Caenorhabditis elegans: one gene and its partner. The protein of the gene in region 1 purifies or fractionates together with the protein of each later gene. This does not show direct contact. Each region holds a gene or a part of one and is shown on either strand. Other genes may lie near its edges. The genes, in order: ptp-1 and F59A1.15.

The links.
Region 2: the proteins of ptp-1 (region 1) and F59A1.15 fractionate together in Caenorhabditis elegans (co-fractionation; one large-scale study listed by BioGRID). This does not show direct contact.

The regions. Positions count from the first base shown.
Region 1 is NC_003281.10:3,587,919-3,596,095, reverse strand, and holds the start of ptp-1 (Tyrosine-protein phosphatase 1), read right to left. Parts: upstream 5,373-8,177; 5' UTR 5,327-5,372; coding exon 5,189-5,326; intron 4,473-5,188; coding exon 4,356-4,472; intron 4,312-4,355; coding exon 4,095-4,311; intron 3,700-4,094; coding exon 3,573-3,699; intron 3,493-3,572; coding exon 3,246-3,492; intron 2,932-3,245; coding exon 2,705-2,931; intron 1,887-2,704; coding exon 1,773-1,886; intron 1,657-1,772; coding exon 1,504-1,656; intron 875-1,503; exon of another isoform or gene 872-874; coding exon of another isoform or gene 843-871; intron 1-842.
Region 2 is NC_003283.11:17,678,303-17,687,316, reverse strand, and holds F59A1.15 (Adenylate and Guanylate cyclase catalytic domain containing protein), read left to right. Parts: upstream 1-3,453; 5' UTR 3,454-3,460; coding exon 3,461-3,611; intron 3,612-4,253; coding exon 4,254-4,654; intron 4,655-4,951; coding exon 4,952-5,036; intron 5,037-5,080; coding exon 5,081-5,207; intron 5,208-5,428; coding exon 5,429-5,928; intron 5,929-6,201; coding exon 6,202-6,287; intron 6,288-6,339; coding exon 6,340-6,552; intron 6,553-6,605; coding exon 6,606-6,656; 3' UTR 6,657-6,700; downstream 6,701-9,014. Other genes in the region: F59A1.13 (Major facilitator superfamily (MFS) profile domain-containing protein), read left to right, coding at 1-54; F59A1.18 (Saposin B-type domain-containing protein), read left to right, coding at 378-554, 1,050-1,061; F59A1.6 (Saposin B-type domain-containing protein), read right to left, coding at 1,243-1,389, 1,936-2,088; F59A1.16 (Saposin B-type domain-containing protein), read left to right, coding at 2,376-2,549, 3,046-3,168.

The DNA of each region.
Region 1 (8,177 bases):
TGTATTTTATGTATTTGGAGACCACCCATTCGAGGAGAGGGCACTCTCACACAGCTATATACAGCAGTTTTCATAGTACAAAGAGTACAAATCTGGGATCTTTCGTGCTATAAATGGTTATGATGCACCATGTCCTTTCACAGCTTGGTGATTACTACGTGGCCAAGGAGTCCGGAGCATTTTATTGAGAATCGTACTCGCAAAACAAATAAAACACCCTTATAAGATCATTTTTGGCAAGCTGTACAAAAACTGTCGTAAAAAAACTAAAGAAATATCGTTGGCCGATATTTTTCAGTTTAATTCTTAGGCCACGTAACACAGGAATTCCGAAAAACGAGGCCCCGAGAGTTTTGTGACACTAAAAAATTTTGTGTAAGACATGGTGCATCGGACATATGCCTGAAAATTTTGTAAACACTGGGGTACTGTGCAAAAACTTAAAATCCGACTTACTAATTTCTAGCCATTCGCGTTGATGATTTTTCAAAAAATTTGTTAACTCTAAAAAATATCACATTGCACCATGTTGTTCCAAAATGTTTCATTTAAAATTAATGCCAAAATATAGAAAATCATTTTGCTTATCTGAGAATAACATTCATTTCAGTTGAAAAATATGTTAAAATGCAAAAAAAAATGGTCTGAAAATTCCAGATTGCCGAAAAACAAAGCTCGATAATTCGACAACTTTCAGGTAATTTGGAAGCATTTTTCCAAATGTTTCAACTGTAATAAAGCCACCCATCTTTGGTGTAAAAGTTGAGCAGCAAGGGTAACACGAGGTAAATAAATTCTACACATGTTAAGGAACCAAACAAGCTTTTGATTAGGCGCCTCACCTCGTTCTAGCTGTTCTCCGACGGCGCATTCGATTATAGACTGATTGCGCAAGAAATTGTTCAGTGTATGTGTATGAACTTATCAGAAGAACGACACAGACAAAAGTGAGAAAGTGGAGACGGAAGTGATAAGGAGAAAAAGACTTGTAAATCAAATGGAAAAGAACCTATTAGTAGATTTTAGAACGATTTTTGAAATGACCACCAAATTGGTCAGTTATGTGGAAAATTGCTGAACAAAAGAAGTAAGATTTTTTGATGGGCAAAGTAATTTACATGCCGCTTTGGGCACTAATCTCATAGAAATCGTCGGCCAATCAGCGAAGTGCAAAGGGCGTGGCCTGTGTCGCTGATTGGTGGGCCCTCTCACGTGCGCGCGCGAATTTGAAAATGAGTTCTTGAAACAGTAGTAGTAGTTCGTTAAGTTGAACATGTCGTGACACAAACGACCCCTGTCTATGGATTACCCAACAAACGTTATTTGAGAAGTTATCGACACCGACCAATCAGCGATTTGCAAAGGGCGGGACAAATGTCGATGATTGGTTGGCTTTAGAATTTGATATTCTTGAAAAAGTGGTTGTATTCTTGTACTATATTAAAGAACTGCTCTCTTAAGATGCTCTGTACAAATAGCAGGAATTGGATACAAACTAATTACCTATCTGTGGCATAGTCTCGAGTGCGTCGTGGTGAAAGTGGTGTAGTGAGTGGTGCACAGACAACTGCACCATCGGAAGCATATCCAAGTGCATCGGAGGAATCCGTGTCGTGACGGGCGGCACTCAACAGACGACGTGCCAACAATTGACCACTGTGAGAATAGGAAAAGCGTGTGCGGAGAGAAGTGCGAGAAAAGGCTTGGTTTTGGCAATTTGTGTCGTTATTAAACGAATAATTGCCATAACCATGACATATTAAAATTGTTACCTGGACGGAAGTTCTGGAGAGTCTGTAGTTGTTGTGTTGGTATAACGGGATGAATCAATTGATTGTGTGTTGCCGGAAAACGTTGATCGGAGGAAAGAAGATTTTGAGAGGGATCTGAAAAAGTTTTTTGATTACATTCTAAAAGTTTGGGGGTTAATTGAAACTTTTTGGCCCCTCGAATTTCGTTTCAGAATTTTCAAAAAAAAATTAAATTCGGTAAGAGTATTCTTGCCACTGAAATAAATCTTACACATGAATTTTTGAATCTGTTTTAAAAGAACACTGAAATTATTTGAAAAATAGTTTTTTGAAATTTTTTGAACGAAATTTTTAGAAAAAACCTACTGCAGATTCCTGCATTTTTACATAAAATCTAGTGTCACATCGTTAATATTCCGAAATTTTACTGGGAAATGAAAATTTTAACACTTTACATATAGGCATGAGGTAGGCACTAAAAGGAGGCAGACAGGCAGGTAGGTTTTTTTTGTTTTTGAAGGATTTTTGAACATTTTTCTATAAAGTTTCATTTTGAGCCAACTTTTGCAACTTATTATTTGGAAAATGTTGACATGTTGCGCTGAATTTTTTATACTTTTTAAAAATAAATTAACCTATCGCCTGCATTGAGAATATCGGAATTTTCAAGGCTCATTTCTAGAAAAATATGTGAATAACGTGGTCATGGGCCCAATTTTTTATAGGGATCATAATTTGTTTTCTCAAAAACGAAAACAAAAAGGGACAACTGGATATACAGCAAACTATAATTAGATCAAAATAGACAAAACTTTGAATTTTGAGCAGTGTCAGGGTTACTGTAAAGGGGGGGGGGGGAGTGACCTTGCCATGAAAACTGTTCCACGACCAGCTATGGGGTGGCTTTTTCAAAATTTTAATTTCTAAATCAATTTTCAAAGATAAATTCTCACCTATGAAAATTCCGATGTCCAGCTGACTTCCGATGCTCATTCTCCTCAAGTGTCTGATATTCGGTTCGTCCACTATATCGGAATTTCGATCCAAAGTTGAAAACCTTCCTTTGCGGCGTTTTTGGAGGAGTTTTCAGCCGGAAGAACGTGTGCTGCTCGATGCAGCATTTCCAGAGAAGTTTGCAGATTTTCGCGGACATGATGTTGAAGATCATGATTGTTTCGCTCTGAAATTAGGATTTTGTAACCGAATATTAGAAATTTGTACGTCAAAGTTCAGCCATAATTTAAAAAAAAGAAATTTTTTTTCATAAAGTCTCTCCGAATCTAATTGTTTTTTTTTGTGTGTAATATGAGGCATCAAGGTTCTAATTGAAAACAAGGCAAATAACGCACCAATACGTCATACTTTTTTGCACAAACTTAAAATTATGCCTACGTGCCTGCCTATTGCCTAATTTTCAAAATTGGAATAAATTGTGCTATATACTTTTAGTTTTTTAGGCGAATTTTTTCACAGATTCCATAGCCAAAAACTCACCACTCCATCCTCATTAGCCACCAAAACTTGAAATTGTTTTTTCTTGAAGCTAAGTTTTCTTATTCGTACCCACGCGTACTCATTCATCTTGATTCCCTCGTGAAATACTTTAATTCCAACTGCTCCTACTCCAATTTCGATCGGAAGATGATTTGCGTCCACTCCGTCATAAACATCCATTCCGTACATTTCGAGACGCCGCGCGTGGTCAAGAAAGTTCTGCTCTGCTACGTCAGGGGTTTGACCGCTGAAAAAAAATCAGGATAAAAGGCATTTGATGTAGGTATACAGATTTGCCTGCCTTCCATAAAATCCTAAAAAACCTACATATGAAGCTGATGAAGTTCTGCGACGCGATCCGAAAAATCATCTGGAAGAGTAGCAAATTGAATTTTGTAGCACAGACACGTCCGGGACATTCCATGAGTTTTCTCCTCAAAGTCTCCGACTTCCGCTGTAAAAATCAGTTTTATTATCAAATTTCGATTTTGCGTGGAATATGGTACTGTGAACAAAAAAAAATTGCGCGTCACATCTGATGCATTAGAACCATGACACTGAGCAGAGCAGAATCTTTGAAATTTGAACATTTTCTCATCAAACATGGTGCATTCGAATACTGAAATTACGGACCAAATGCATCATATGAAACTTGCGCGTCAATTGTGATGCATTAAACATTTGAAATTTGCTCGTCAAATATGGTGTATACAAAATTTGCAATTACAAACCAAAAACATCAGATCATATGCGCAACTATAGTCTATAGAAGGCACAATAATGCCTACGCACATGCCTACAAAGGGATCGTAGGTAGGCGTAGGCAGGCAGGCACACCTTCTCACTAACCTTGTACCACATAACTAGCCAACAACGCAAGTGATCCTTCATTACACGGCAGCCTTCCTTCTTCCAAATTCTGCCTAACTTGTTGATAGAATTGGAACCTCGTAAACTCGTCTCGTAGACGATTCGGGTCCCGTACGTAGAATTTGACACGGAAGAACAAATGATACGGTGGGCAAATCATTTGTTTTCGCAAGTTTTTCGACGGATCCAGCCATTTCTGAAATTATTATTGTAGGAAAAGCCTTGGAAAGTTGAAAAAACCTTCTGCTGAGCACTAGAATTATCGACTGCAATGAAGACGAGGCCAAAATAATCTTTTTCGATAATCTCCAAATAGTTGAATACTTTTTCTAAAAGTACGATTCCCAGGGAGTTTTTCTGAAAATTGAGTAACTTGTTTCCTGCGGCCTGCCTACCTACCTGCCTACGTGAATGTAGGTAGGCACAGTAGACCTGGTGAATCATATAAGAATTTAATGCACTTCTTCTGCACTTTTTTCTTAACTGAAATCGAAAACAACCGGCTAATTGAAAGTTGTTGATGCCAAGTAAATACCATCTTGAATATTTCAAATTGGAATATATTTTGATTCAATACAAAAATACAAAAATGAAGTCAATTAAAAGATATTTTAGTTGAAAATGTGGAAATTTATACGATTAACAACTATTTTTTTTGCAAAATTGATATTTTCTTTTCAAAAAAATTCCATGAAAAATTATCAATTAACAATATGCGGAAAACTTTGAGTTTCTAAAAAAAGTTTTAAAACTTTCAAATTTATAATATACAGCTTGCTCAGCCTCAACAGAAGTGAGCGCAATGAAGAAGCCCCATTTTGATTTTTCAAAAATATTGGCGCGAAATTCAAATTTTAATTTTTCCAAATAAAAATGTTCTACAAATTTTTGGAAAATTTACGAAAAATTCTCCAAATCATAAACAATATAATTTGTCAGTCAAAGGCTTTTTGAATCATCTCCTAGATTTCTTTTATAGCTGAAAAAAATACAAATTTTCCGTACAAGTACGTCAAATTTTCTCATAAAGCCAAGCTTTCAAAAATAATAATTACATTAAAAAAACCTCTCACCTCAATTTCAAAATGATAAGAAGTGCTATCAAGGAAGGTAACTGTACATCGGATCTGATTTGGAGGCGGTGTCTTGACAGGCGTTTGACCAATTGCCTCCGTCCTCTGTACATCGTAACTATTCGATCCGAGACGCATAGCTGCTTATGTCATTATTGTGCAAAAAGGAACAGAAGCCGTCTGAAATAGTTAAAAATGAGTGAAGAGACAGGCAAAGAGAGAGATAGGAAGCGGAGGAAAACAAAAACAAAAACTTTCGAAGAGATGTTCGACGAGGTCAGCTGAGTGAGCGAGAGACAAAACCAATTTGCTGCTCAATTTATAGTTTTTTTTGTTTAGCCGGGAGGAGGAAAAGCCTCAAAAAATAGGAATAGGGAAATGAAAAACAGATGAGAGAGAGTGGTCAAAGAAAGGGATAAATGTAGCAAGAAATTGAAGATTTTGGAACATAAGTGCAACATAAGAAGAATAGGAAGGACTAGTAGTAGTGGACGGATGGACTCAAATTCTGAGAGTTTAGGGAGAGGCTAATGCAGTTAAGAGCCATTATATGGGCGGGGTGTTTTATTGATTTTTTTTAATTTTTGGTCGGATTAGATCTATTTTTAAATAGTTCCCTGTCTGTAAAAAATTTTGGGAGAAATTAAATTTTAGAACCAATAAAAAAGCCCGCAGATGTCTTCGCGTTTTAGTTTTTTTAAATATTTTTTTTTATTTATCAATTTCGTCAATAATATGTTTTTCAAATGGCTAATTATTAGAAAATGAAATCCTTTAAACTCCAGCACAAAATATTCAAAAAATACTACTGAGAAAATGCGCTGCAGCGAAATTAGGAAAAAAAAAGCTAATTGAAATTACGAATTTCTACTAAAAATTGTTTTTTTTTAATATGGAATTTTTAAAATTGAAAGTTAATTTCGAGTGTTTTTTTTTAAATTTAAAAATTAGCCGAAACTCGAACTATTGAAACAGAAGAACACATTCCAAAAAATCGAAAAAAAATAATTTTTTTCCAAAATCAAAGAGCAAATTCTAAGCTTTATCAAAATTTGTTTATTTCAATGAGAAACAATTTTCTCCAGGAAAGAAAAAATGCTCTAAATTGGTGAAAAAACGTTGCAAAGCTTGATATTTTTCTATTAAAAACTTCAAAAAAACTTTTTGAAAAAAGTTTTCTAAAAATACCGCACCAAATTCAAATCTCCAAGTGCTAAATCCATGACTACATCACCCTGCCACACATTACTTTTTCCATCTAATGAGGCGAAAGTGCTCGCGGAGCCCCCAAGGAAATTCAATAAATAACGCGCGAAAATTCTTTGGGAAGGAACGAAACAAAGCCAAATTTTAATTTTGAGAACCCCAAAGAGATAAGGAGCCAGATGGAATGAAGGAAAAATAGAATAAATGAGAAAACTGGGACAGCTTCTTCTTCCTTCCTTCCACCCCAGCAACAACACATTATGAAGTGGAGTGGACCCAATAGAAGAAGGAAAAAAGGAAAAAAAAAACGTTAGAAAACGAATTGTGTGCTTTAGGAGAGGGCGAAAATAGAATGAAAGTGGACCTGGACTCCGCTGCCGCCAAAAATTGGATGGAATCGGAGGCAATTATTAGGCCCTCTTAGGATATGTGACATACACACCGAGAAGTTTTGATTGATGACGTGGCACGGGAAACGGAGAAAAAGTTGAAGATGAGTATAATAAGAGTACGGTTATGGTATTTGTAGAAAGAAAATTTCTGGAATATACACCTTTAATCTTTGAATTTTAACTTGCTTTAAAACTATGTGCCTTTAAATGTACCTTTCGGGTATGTGTTTCAAAAAAAGGATTTGTAGCTTAAACTTTAAATTATGTCTAATTCAGGTATGCACTCTTGAATTTGAACTACGTGCCTTTCAAATAGTGTTACCTTTAAACTAGACCTATGCATTTTTCAAAACAGGAGTATGTTTCTTCAAAATTAAGGAACATCTCCCTAAATTTAAATTATGTGGCTTTAAATAAAGATTTATGAAATAAAGTATGTAAAAATGAGTGCGGTATTTATATATCTTTATAGTTGATGCAAAAAGTACATTTCCTGTGAGACCAAATAAAAGTAGTAATAATATGTACTATGTATGTCATTCCTAGAATTGTTGTATGTTTTGTTTAGATGGGTTCATGTGAAAAATAAATATCTAGGCTTTTGTCAAATTGATACGACAAAAATTGATACGATATTCCTACGAACTAGGGGTATTTACCTTGAAAATTTCAAGTTTATAGTATGTCGTTCAGATTTAGAATACGAGTTTTTAAAAATTTTCTCTGAAAATTTTCAACAAAGCTATCTAGCCTATAATTCCCAGATAAATTGAAAATGGAGCTGCTGCAAGAAAGATGAAGTATAGAGAAGCACACATACAAACCAAAAAGCGGATTAGAAATTAAGGACGTTGGTGAGGGAGGAGAAACTGCAAAAGAAGAAGAAAAAGGAGAAGCGGTCGACTCAAGTCGCTTATGATATAATTGAATGACACGAAATTGAGTGCAAATTAGACAAAATGTAGATGGAAAGAAGAGCGGCGAGAAGATGATGGGACTAAGAAGAAATGATAGGTTGGAAAATTTCAGATTTTTGAGAAAAAATGGAAAAAAAAATCTCGAAAAATAATTTAAAAAGCGAAAAAAATATGTATAAAGAATTGAGCGAATCTTCCAAAATTACAGGTAAGTTGAAGCATCTAAAAAAGGGATATGCGGCAAATTTGCCGAAACTTCCGTTTGCCAAGCTCGGCAATTTTGAAAATTTGCCGCACACACCACAAATTGGGTTTTAAAAAATTTGACCAAAAATGTTAATTTTGTTCAAAAAATTATAGTAAAATAGCATGAAATTGAGTTGCCCGTTTCGGCAAATTTGCTGAATTTGCCGCAAACTTTACCTTCTTCACCTACAAGGTTACCTGAGCGCCTATCGTCACTAATTGAAATTT
Region 2 (9,014 bases), on another chromosome or scaffold:
TCCGACGAGCCTGGACCATACGTGAAAGTCGGGCAGAAACCGAATGAAGCCTAGTTTTTTGTTATCTATCTATATTAATTTTTTTTAAAAATAAATTACAAATTTGTACTAAAGATCTAGTGATTTTAGAAAGAAAAATTCAAAAAAAAAACTTCAAAAAAAACTTTTTCAGCAATGTTTAAAAAAATTTTTTAAACTCTACTCTTTCACAAATAACATCTATATCAAATATTTTCAGTTGACAACAAGTTTTCGTCACAAAAAAAACCATCAGAAATTACCATTTCAATGCCTCTTTTGTCCTCCGCGAAGGCAAAAGTTCACAAAAAAGCACAGAAATTCTAGCTTTTCTCCATTTTCCAGTGAAAGCTTTCAATATGAAGCCGATTTTTTTTCTTATTCTGTTTTCAGCTCCCCTTATCTTTGCTGAAAATTCCACGGAGCCTACCGTACTCACTACCGGTTACAGTAGTATGTGCCAGTCTTGCATCGACTTTTTGGAGCATTTACCCGGATTTTTGGACAAATATTCACCAGATCTTGGAATTGATGCGGTAAGGTGGAGAAATACGGTAAAACGAAAAAATTTTAGTATTGCCGGGGGTCGAACCCTGGTCTTGTCGGCCACAGCCAAGCCTCTACCCAACTGAGCCACTTGACCATCTTTAAAATTTCGGAAAACTTGCGTCTGGCGCTAATTTTAGCGTGGAATTTGAATTTACTTATTTTTCTCCAAAAATTCACTGAAATTGCGAAAAACTACATAAAATCTCGATATTAATTTTCAAAAATACAATTTTTGTCGATTTACTGGGAATTAACATTAACTAACAGTTTTCGATGCAAAAATAACAAAAAAAAAATAGCCACCGATGGGGTCGAACCCCTGACCTTCTGAACCATAGTCAAACCTCTTCCCAACTGAGCCACGAAGACACTTTTTGAAAACCTTCAAAATAACGACCATAGGATAAAATTTAATGCTCTTTCTGATTTTCAAGTCAATTTTGCTTCTAAAACCACCTAAAAGTCACAAAAATCAATTTCAGGACACCCTCTGAACGTCGCTAACAGCTCACATGCCATCCATCGGAGACCCATGCTTCAAACTTTTCGCAGAATATTGGCCGACCAACAAAAACGCGACAACTGTTCAAATTTGCTCGTTTATCCATTTTTGTTGAGAAAATTATGTTTTTTTAATAAAAGGGTGCAGGGAATAAATGTCTTTGTTAAAATTCTTTAATTGCAATACATATCACAGACGGCGTTTCCGAAATCGATAAGTTGAGGACGGAATGTGTCAAAAACGTTGCCAATGTTGAAATTGTTCACCAGAGCCATACATTTTGGCTTGAGAGTTTTGTGAAGTTGGAAGCACGCAAGGTTCTGGAAATTTTTTTAAAATTTCCTCTGAAAAGGATGTCAATCTTAAGGTTTTCAGTGTTAAACTACTTTTTCTAAACAAAAAAAAAACAAAAAATTTGCCGCCGGCGGGGATCGAACCCCAGTCTTGTGCGCCTTGGCTAAACCTCTACCCAACTGAGCCATTGCATCATTTTTTCGAAATTTGAAAAAAACAGCTTTTATGGTCAAAAAAAATGAGTTAGGGCCATTTTTCATTGAATCTAACTCCGAATTTCGATTTTAGACCTCTGTTCAGACTATTTCGATGCCTTTTTTCGGAAAATTCACAACAAAAAATCCGGATTTCGGTAAAAACGCGATTTTCAAAAAACATTTAATCTTCTTCATAGTGATCCAACTTAACAAAAATATTTGCTCTTAGTGGGGATTGAACCCTTGACCTTCTGCGCCGAATCCAAACCTCTACCCGGTTGAGCCACCCGATAAAAAATTTGTGCTAAAAACGCCTCCAAGATCAAAATCTCGCGCCAAATTCGAACTTTTCATTAGTTTTTGTTTCCAACTCACCATATATCCCGTCATTTCTGCCCAACTCTTCGGCACTTTCTCCTCCCAATTCTTATTACACATCTCGCAGAATTGTCCCTGAGCCTCTTGAATATCAGCGAAAGCACTAGCGGCAAGAACGAAAATTGCAGAGAAAATAAGCAGAAGCTTCATGTTTTGGGCCTCCCGGTGTGGTTAATGAGTGATAAGTGATTAGCAAAAACTGCAGAGGATCTCTACAGTACCGAAATTTGAAATTTAAATTGATTGTTTTACATATGATTTGCATTATTTCCATTTTGTCACCAAACACCACGTCTTTTGGAACGTCTAATATGGAAATTTTTCGTGGGAAAAAACTCGAATTTTAGGAATTTTTGAAGATTTTCCCAAGAAAATTGGTATAAAAATGAGTAGGATTCTCTTCAAATTTCAAAAAAAACTTCCAGATTCCCTCCAATATGAAGCTTCTCCTTCTCACTTTGCTCCTGGCACTCTGTATTTCTCCGATATTCGCTAATAAATGCGATTTTTGCACGAAAAGTGTGAAGGCGATCAAGGATGGCAAGGGATTGGCCTATATGGCTAATTTGTCAGCGAAACAAATCGACGATTATGTGAAGAAGCATGTAGAGGTGAGTAACTGAAAAATAAAAATAAATTGGGTGCAGTGGGGGTCGAACCCCTGACCTTCTGCGCCGCAACTAAACCTCTACCCTACTGAGCCACCGAGACCAATTTTAAAATTTGCGGGAAAACGACTTCCAAATCCAAAAATTGCGTAGATTTCAAATTTGTATACATAATCGCATTAAGTCTGACCTAAAAAACTCAAAAATGAAATTTTTCAAAAAAAAAGAACAAAATTCTGATAATTTTTGAAAATTTAAATTTTCTTTTATACTCTGAAGATCAAAATGATTTTAGTCGCAGAAACAAAAAAAAACAAAAATTTTCGCCGCTGTGGGGGTTGAACCCCTGACCTTCTGCGTCATAACCAAACCCGTACCCAGCTGAGCCACTTGGTCACTTAAAAAGTTTGCAGAAAAAGCTTCCAGGCCCAATTTTAGTGTAGATTTCCAATTTTGAATTACCATCGCTCAAAAATCGCTGACATTTGAGTTTTTTCAGAAAAATTGCTCCGGATCCACATGTCCAAAGCTCATCAAATCCCTTGTAGAGATCGCAGATCAACTCGATGATGACTTGGATTCTACCCCACAGGAATTGTGCAAATTCGTATATTTTTGTTGATTTCCATAAATTTTTGAATGGAAATAAATGTTAAAACAATAGATTTTCTCGAATTTACAAACAAATTATCTTGAGAATTTTAGTTTTAAAAAAATGGGAAAATTTCAAACAATTATTCAGTTAGAATTTTTTTCGAAAGCGATCTACTTATTAAATTTGTACAATTTTGTGTTGTATCCAAAAAAGTTTTAGTCAATTTTTATTATTTTCCAAGTTCACGCTATCCACATATTTTGCCACAATGCTTCCCTCCCCTATATTTTCAATTTCCAATCATTTCTGTATTTCAAAAATGTTTTCGGAACTGAGTTCGTCACAAACTTCAAATTCTAAAACAAAAAATGATGAGAGAGTCGAGACGGAGCTAAAGCCAAGCTCATCCGATGCATCAATCAATGATGGGAGAATGTTCGGCAGTTTGGAGGAGCTTATGACGTATATTGGTGAGTTTTGGTGGGAGTTACGCCAAAATTAACTATTGCAAAATATTGTGCGGATAATTTTGAACATTTTTTTTATTTGAAAGATTTTTGGTATCTGAATCCTACGCAGAGATACGACAGGTTAAAGTTTAGCGGCGAGAGAGTGTGGGGGAGGGGAGAGCGCAAGCGCGTGAGCTACCTGCGCCTCTCTTCCCGCCACACTCTCTAGCAGGCCTTCCACGAAAGCGGTGCTCTCGCCACGCGGACCTGCACAGCGTCGGCCGCAGTACACAGAGTGTTTATGCGTGAATTTTCAAGATCTAAACAGAATATTCAACCAAAAGTTTTAGGAATTATGAAATATTTTTTTGAAAAACTTAAAAGAAAGTTGTAGATCATAAAATTTTGAGTATTTCCGTAGTTGAAAGTTTTCGAATATCTTCATTCTCCGCGGAGCTGCACGCGTTTTAAGCTTGTACGGCGAGAGAGTGTTGGAGGAGGGGAGAGCGCAGGCGCGCGAGCTTACTGCGTCTTTCTCCCCACCACACTCTCTAGTCAAGTTTTTTGACGCGCATGTCTTTTAAACGAATAGAGATACTGAAAAACTTTCAATTGACAAAATTATCAGCGTACAATTTTCTACCCAAATGTCAATTATTCCAGGATCCAACTACCCGCACTACCGAAAAACCGTGTTTCCAATCTTCATCGTCTACTTCTTCATCTATTTCTCCTCCAGATTCCTAACAGAGACCCAAAAGCTTAAATCTCTGGAAACTATGAAACACAACGGAACAAATGAGTATTTCTACTCAAAATGTCTCCCAAACAATATGGATGATTCACTGAAAGTTGCTGAAAAAGTGAATTTCATTCCAGTTCGAGTACCAAAAGGAGAGCTGACTATTGTGATGGATACTTTCTTCATGTTTGCCACGACTACTTTGAGCCCCAGAAAGCTGGTAATGTGTTGTCTGGGATTTGTGAGCACCGCGTATTTTGTGATGGCACATTTCGACTCTCAAATTCAGATGAGCATTTATGTTTCGCAGATTTTTTCGGAGGTGAGCGCATTGAAAATATGTTAATGAGCATTTCATCAGTTGGAAGTTTTTTGATATCTCTAACGGTTGAGGAGATATGAAGGTTTGAAGTCAGCGCAGCGAGAGAGTAGGGGAGGGGGAGAGACGCAGTCGGCGCGCCGGCCTGCGTCTCCCCTCACCCTACACTCTCACGCCGCCCAAGCTTTAAACGCGTGTATCTCAGCGGAGAATAAAGATATTCGAAAACTTTCAACTACGGAAATATTCAAAATTTTATGATCTACAACTTTCACTTAAGTTTACTTAAATTTTTTTCAGATATACCGCATCGTTGCCTTAATCACAATTGCTGAGTCGGTTCCAAAGTATCACAGAATGCCGGCGTTGATCCTCCTGGAAATTGGTAGCTTTGAGCTTACAAAGTCTACGAAAAATTCAAATTTTCAGTCCGCACAGCTTCACACACACTTTCCACTGTAGCCGTTCGTCTACCATCAGAATTCTCCATGGATTTGTCGTACAGCTTTGAGATTTTTGGATTTCTCACGATCATCATGGGATTTGTCACTTATTAGTGGGTTTTTATTGACGAAACTGTGAATCTCAAGCCAAAAATTTACTGAAAATTTAAATTTTGGATCAAAAATGGAACAAAAATCTAAAATCAAAGCCGGGAATTGACTGGAAAATTTGAATTTCCCGGTGAAAATTAACAAAAAAATTGAATTTCCTGGGAAAAATTGGCTGAAAATATAAATTTCCCGCTGAAAATTGACTAAAAATCCAATATTTCAGCACATTCCACGACTCTCTGTACAGTTTGTTGGCTCGAAGTAAGACGGATCAAATGCAGGATCGGGTGACTGAGATCTTCAAAAAATCCGACATCTACCAGGCGCCAGATGCCGTAATCGATCAGATCGCATTCGAAAATTTCGAGAATAATGATAACGCTATCGAGATCTTCGTGAAAACGCTGAAATCGTTCAAGCTAATTCAAGAAGTGCTCGTTTGTGGTGTGATCTCCGGCGCCAGCCTTGCTGTCGACGCTTTCTTCGAAGCCGAAACCATCAAGCACGCCGAGCTCATGTTCTTCGAGAAAACTCTGATACCCATGACGTCATACACTCTATCAGCCATTTTGCTCCTGATTCTGAGCTTTTTGATGCCAACTCGACGGATTCTCCCAGTGATTTTGACTATTCCAGTGATTTTTCTCACGACATCGGTTATTTATGTGATTCCGGCGATTTTCAAGACATATGACAAGTGCTCTCAACATTATACCATTGAGCGTGAGTAGAACACAAAATTTTAAGCATTTTATCAGTTGGAAGTTTTTCGATACCTCTTACCGGTCAGGAGATATACGCGTTTAAAGGTTTGGCGGCGAGAGAGTGTGTGTGCCGGGGAGAGTGCAACGCACCGCCTGCGTCTCTCCCCGCTTACTATCTCTCACCCGCTAACTTCAAACGCTTGTATCTCCTAAACGGTGAGAGTTATCGAAAAACTTTCAACTGAGGAAATGATCAACATAAAATTTTGCGTCAGATAAGTTATATTTCCAGATTCTGTCTTTCCGTTCTACTTGGCAATCGGGATATTTACCAGTGCTCTCACAGATATTGTTCGCTTTTTTGTGAAAGTTCATTTGGTAACCATTTTCTCTTTTTTTTATAATTCAACTAACTTTCAATTTCCCTCAGCTTGAAGTAATGCCTGTGTTGATCCGTGCACCAATCATTGCGGTGCTCTATTTTGTGCAATACTCATTTGATGGAAATGTTCGCGGACTCTACTCGATGGATAGTATCGGCGGGGAGATGATTCTGGTGTTGATCTCGATTTTGGCAATGCTGATTTTGTTGATAACTCCGAGAAAGAAGAATGACATGAATGTGTTTTTTTCAGAATATAATGTAAGTAACTGTAGAAAAGTTTAGAGAAAACATTTTCATGAATTCTTGTTCAGAACAACGATAGACAAAGGGCATGCCCACCAGCACCGGAATTTGTGAACTAGATACTGGAACAATTGTCTATAAATAAATTTTTCTAATAGAAAATGTCTCGCTGAACATTTTGAAAGTTTTTCGGTATCTCTTACGGCTACAATGATACGCAAATTCGAAGTCTAAGAGGGGAAGTTGACAGTTAAGAAGGTACGTGAAAAAACTACAAAACGAAGTTAGTATCAAATATTAAATACACTTTGAATTATCACAATGAACGTAGAATTTTCCGCTGACAATTTCTTCAATTGGAAGTTTTCAGATATCTCAAACCACTAAGGAGATACTGCTATTTAAAGTTTTGCTAGCGAGACAGCGAAGGGGGGGAAGAGACGCAGAGAAGGCACCAGAGTGTACTCTCCCCTTCCCCCATACTCTCTCGCCTCTAAACTTTGAAACGGCATAACTCTGCGGGGAATTGAGATATCAGAAATGTGAAAATGGAGAAATGCATAGAAATAAAATTTATATTGGAAAAACTCGATTTCCCGGCGTTGTAACTGATAGTTCAGGTACTGTAACCTTTACAAAAACCTTCCTAATTGCATTTCGGTAGTCTCTTATAAAATACATAGGTACTAGGGAATCCATGACTGGCTGAGTGGCCATAAGCGACAAAATTATGGATTCCACTGGACCTGGCTCAAATTTCAAAACTGGAAAGCCTAGAAGGCACCCGGCAGGGAAGAAAAGCAGAAAAATTGGGAAAATAGTCTGAAAAACTAGGACGCGGAATAGTTGATGCTGCATTTCCATGGTTCTTCTCGACTGGAAATTCGCGAAACTATGCGATTTTTGAAGGAAGACCCGCTGAAGTTTCAGCCAGCAAAATCCAATTATGAAAAAACCAATGGTGTGAAAAAATAATGTTTTGAACCGAAAATTTCTCGTTAGACCTACAATAATTCCATCTAAGTTTGCTAGAAATAGAAAATCTGGGAGACTTGCCTGCTCCACGCCAGTTTTTGGATCTTTTCTCTGAATTTGGCACTTATTAGTTTAAGTTTGAAATACTCATAAACTCACATAGAAGATCGATACGGCATAGGTATAATCAGAAACTGACAGGTTGAAAGTTTGCAGCATGTTTTCTCTGCAAACGTGAGCTCAATGGTTTTAAAAATGCTTCAAGTTTTGACATGTTTAATAGAAAATTTCCTGCTGATCATTTCATCAGTTGAAAGTTTTTTGGTATCGCTTACGGTTGAAGAGTTAGACGTATTCGAAGTCGAGAATCAGAAATAGTGTGGGAGGGGGAGAGGCGCAGAGAGGCGCGCCTCTCTGTGTCTCTCCCCCACCCACACTGCCTCGTCGCATAACCTTCAAATCATCATTTATGTGCGGGGAATCGAGATATCAAAAAAATTTCCAACTATTGGAAGATTCAGAATTTTAAGCCTAAAAGTTTGTTGATTAATTTGACGTTAATTGTCTGAAAATTAATAGAAAATTTGATAGAATTGTTTGTTGGAAATCAAAAAATACATTACCCATTCGACATAAAATTTTGCGCTGATCATTTCTTCAGTTTAAAGTTTTTCGGTATCTCTCACGGATCGAGAGTTAAACGCATTTGAAGTAGAGAAGCAGAAATAGTGTGTGGATGGGGGAGAGACGCAGACGACGCGCCACTCTGCGTCTCTCCCCCTCCCACACTGTTTCGTTGCATAACCTTTCATTATGCATAATCATCATGTCTCCGCGGAAAAACGAGATATCAAAAAATTTCCAAATATTGAAATGTACACAATTTTATGATCGACATTTTTCAACTTAAAAAAACCTGATATACTCCTCCACTTCGCCATTTTCGCCGGCAAAATAGACAGCTGAAAACCACCAATCCAACGTCACAAAGAGGAAAACACCAATGAATATTGAAAAATAAGGAAACGAGAAATAATATAGTCGCTGAGGTTTTATAACGGCCAAATATCGATAGATGAAGTGAAAAGCCAGGAGATACAAAGTTATTCCATACGTGGAACAGTTTAGAGCTAAAAGTGTTGTCAGTTTTTATCGCAAAAAATATTCTGGACTAACCTAAATACCATAAATTCAACTTTCTAGGTAATCCAAGAGGATTTTCACTGAAAATTATATATGAAGCTTTGTAAAAATGCAATTTCGGTTGACACGTAACATTTATAAAACCGAATGAAATTCCAAAGAGACTGAAAATTAGCATAAGATATTTGTAGTTTCCAAGGTACGACGGACTTTTCTTGACGATTTAAAATATTAGCAGAGCATTTGAATAAAGTGATAAGGCTGATATGATATAAATTTGGACTTCCGAGAAGTTTTGGTACATTTTGAAAAGAATAATGGCTGAGTAGAGATTGAAAAGGGGAAAAGGCAGAAAAAAA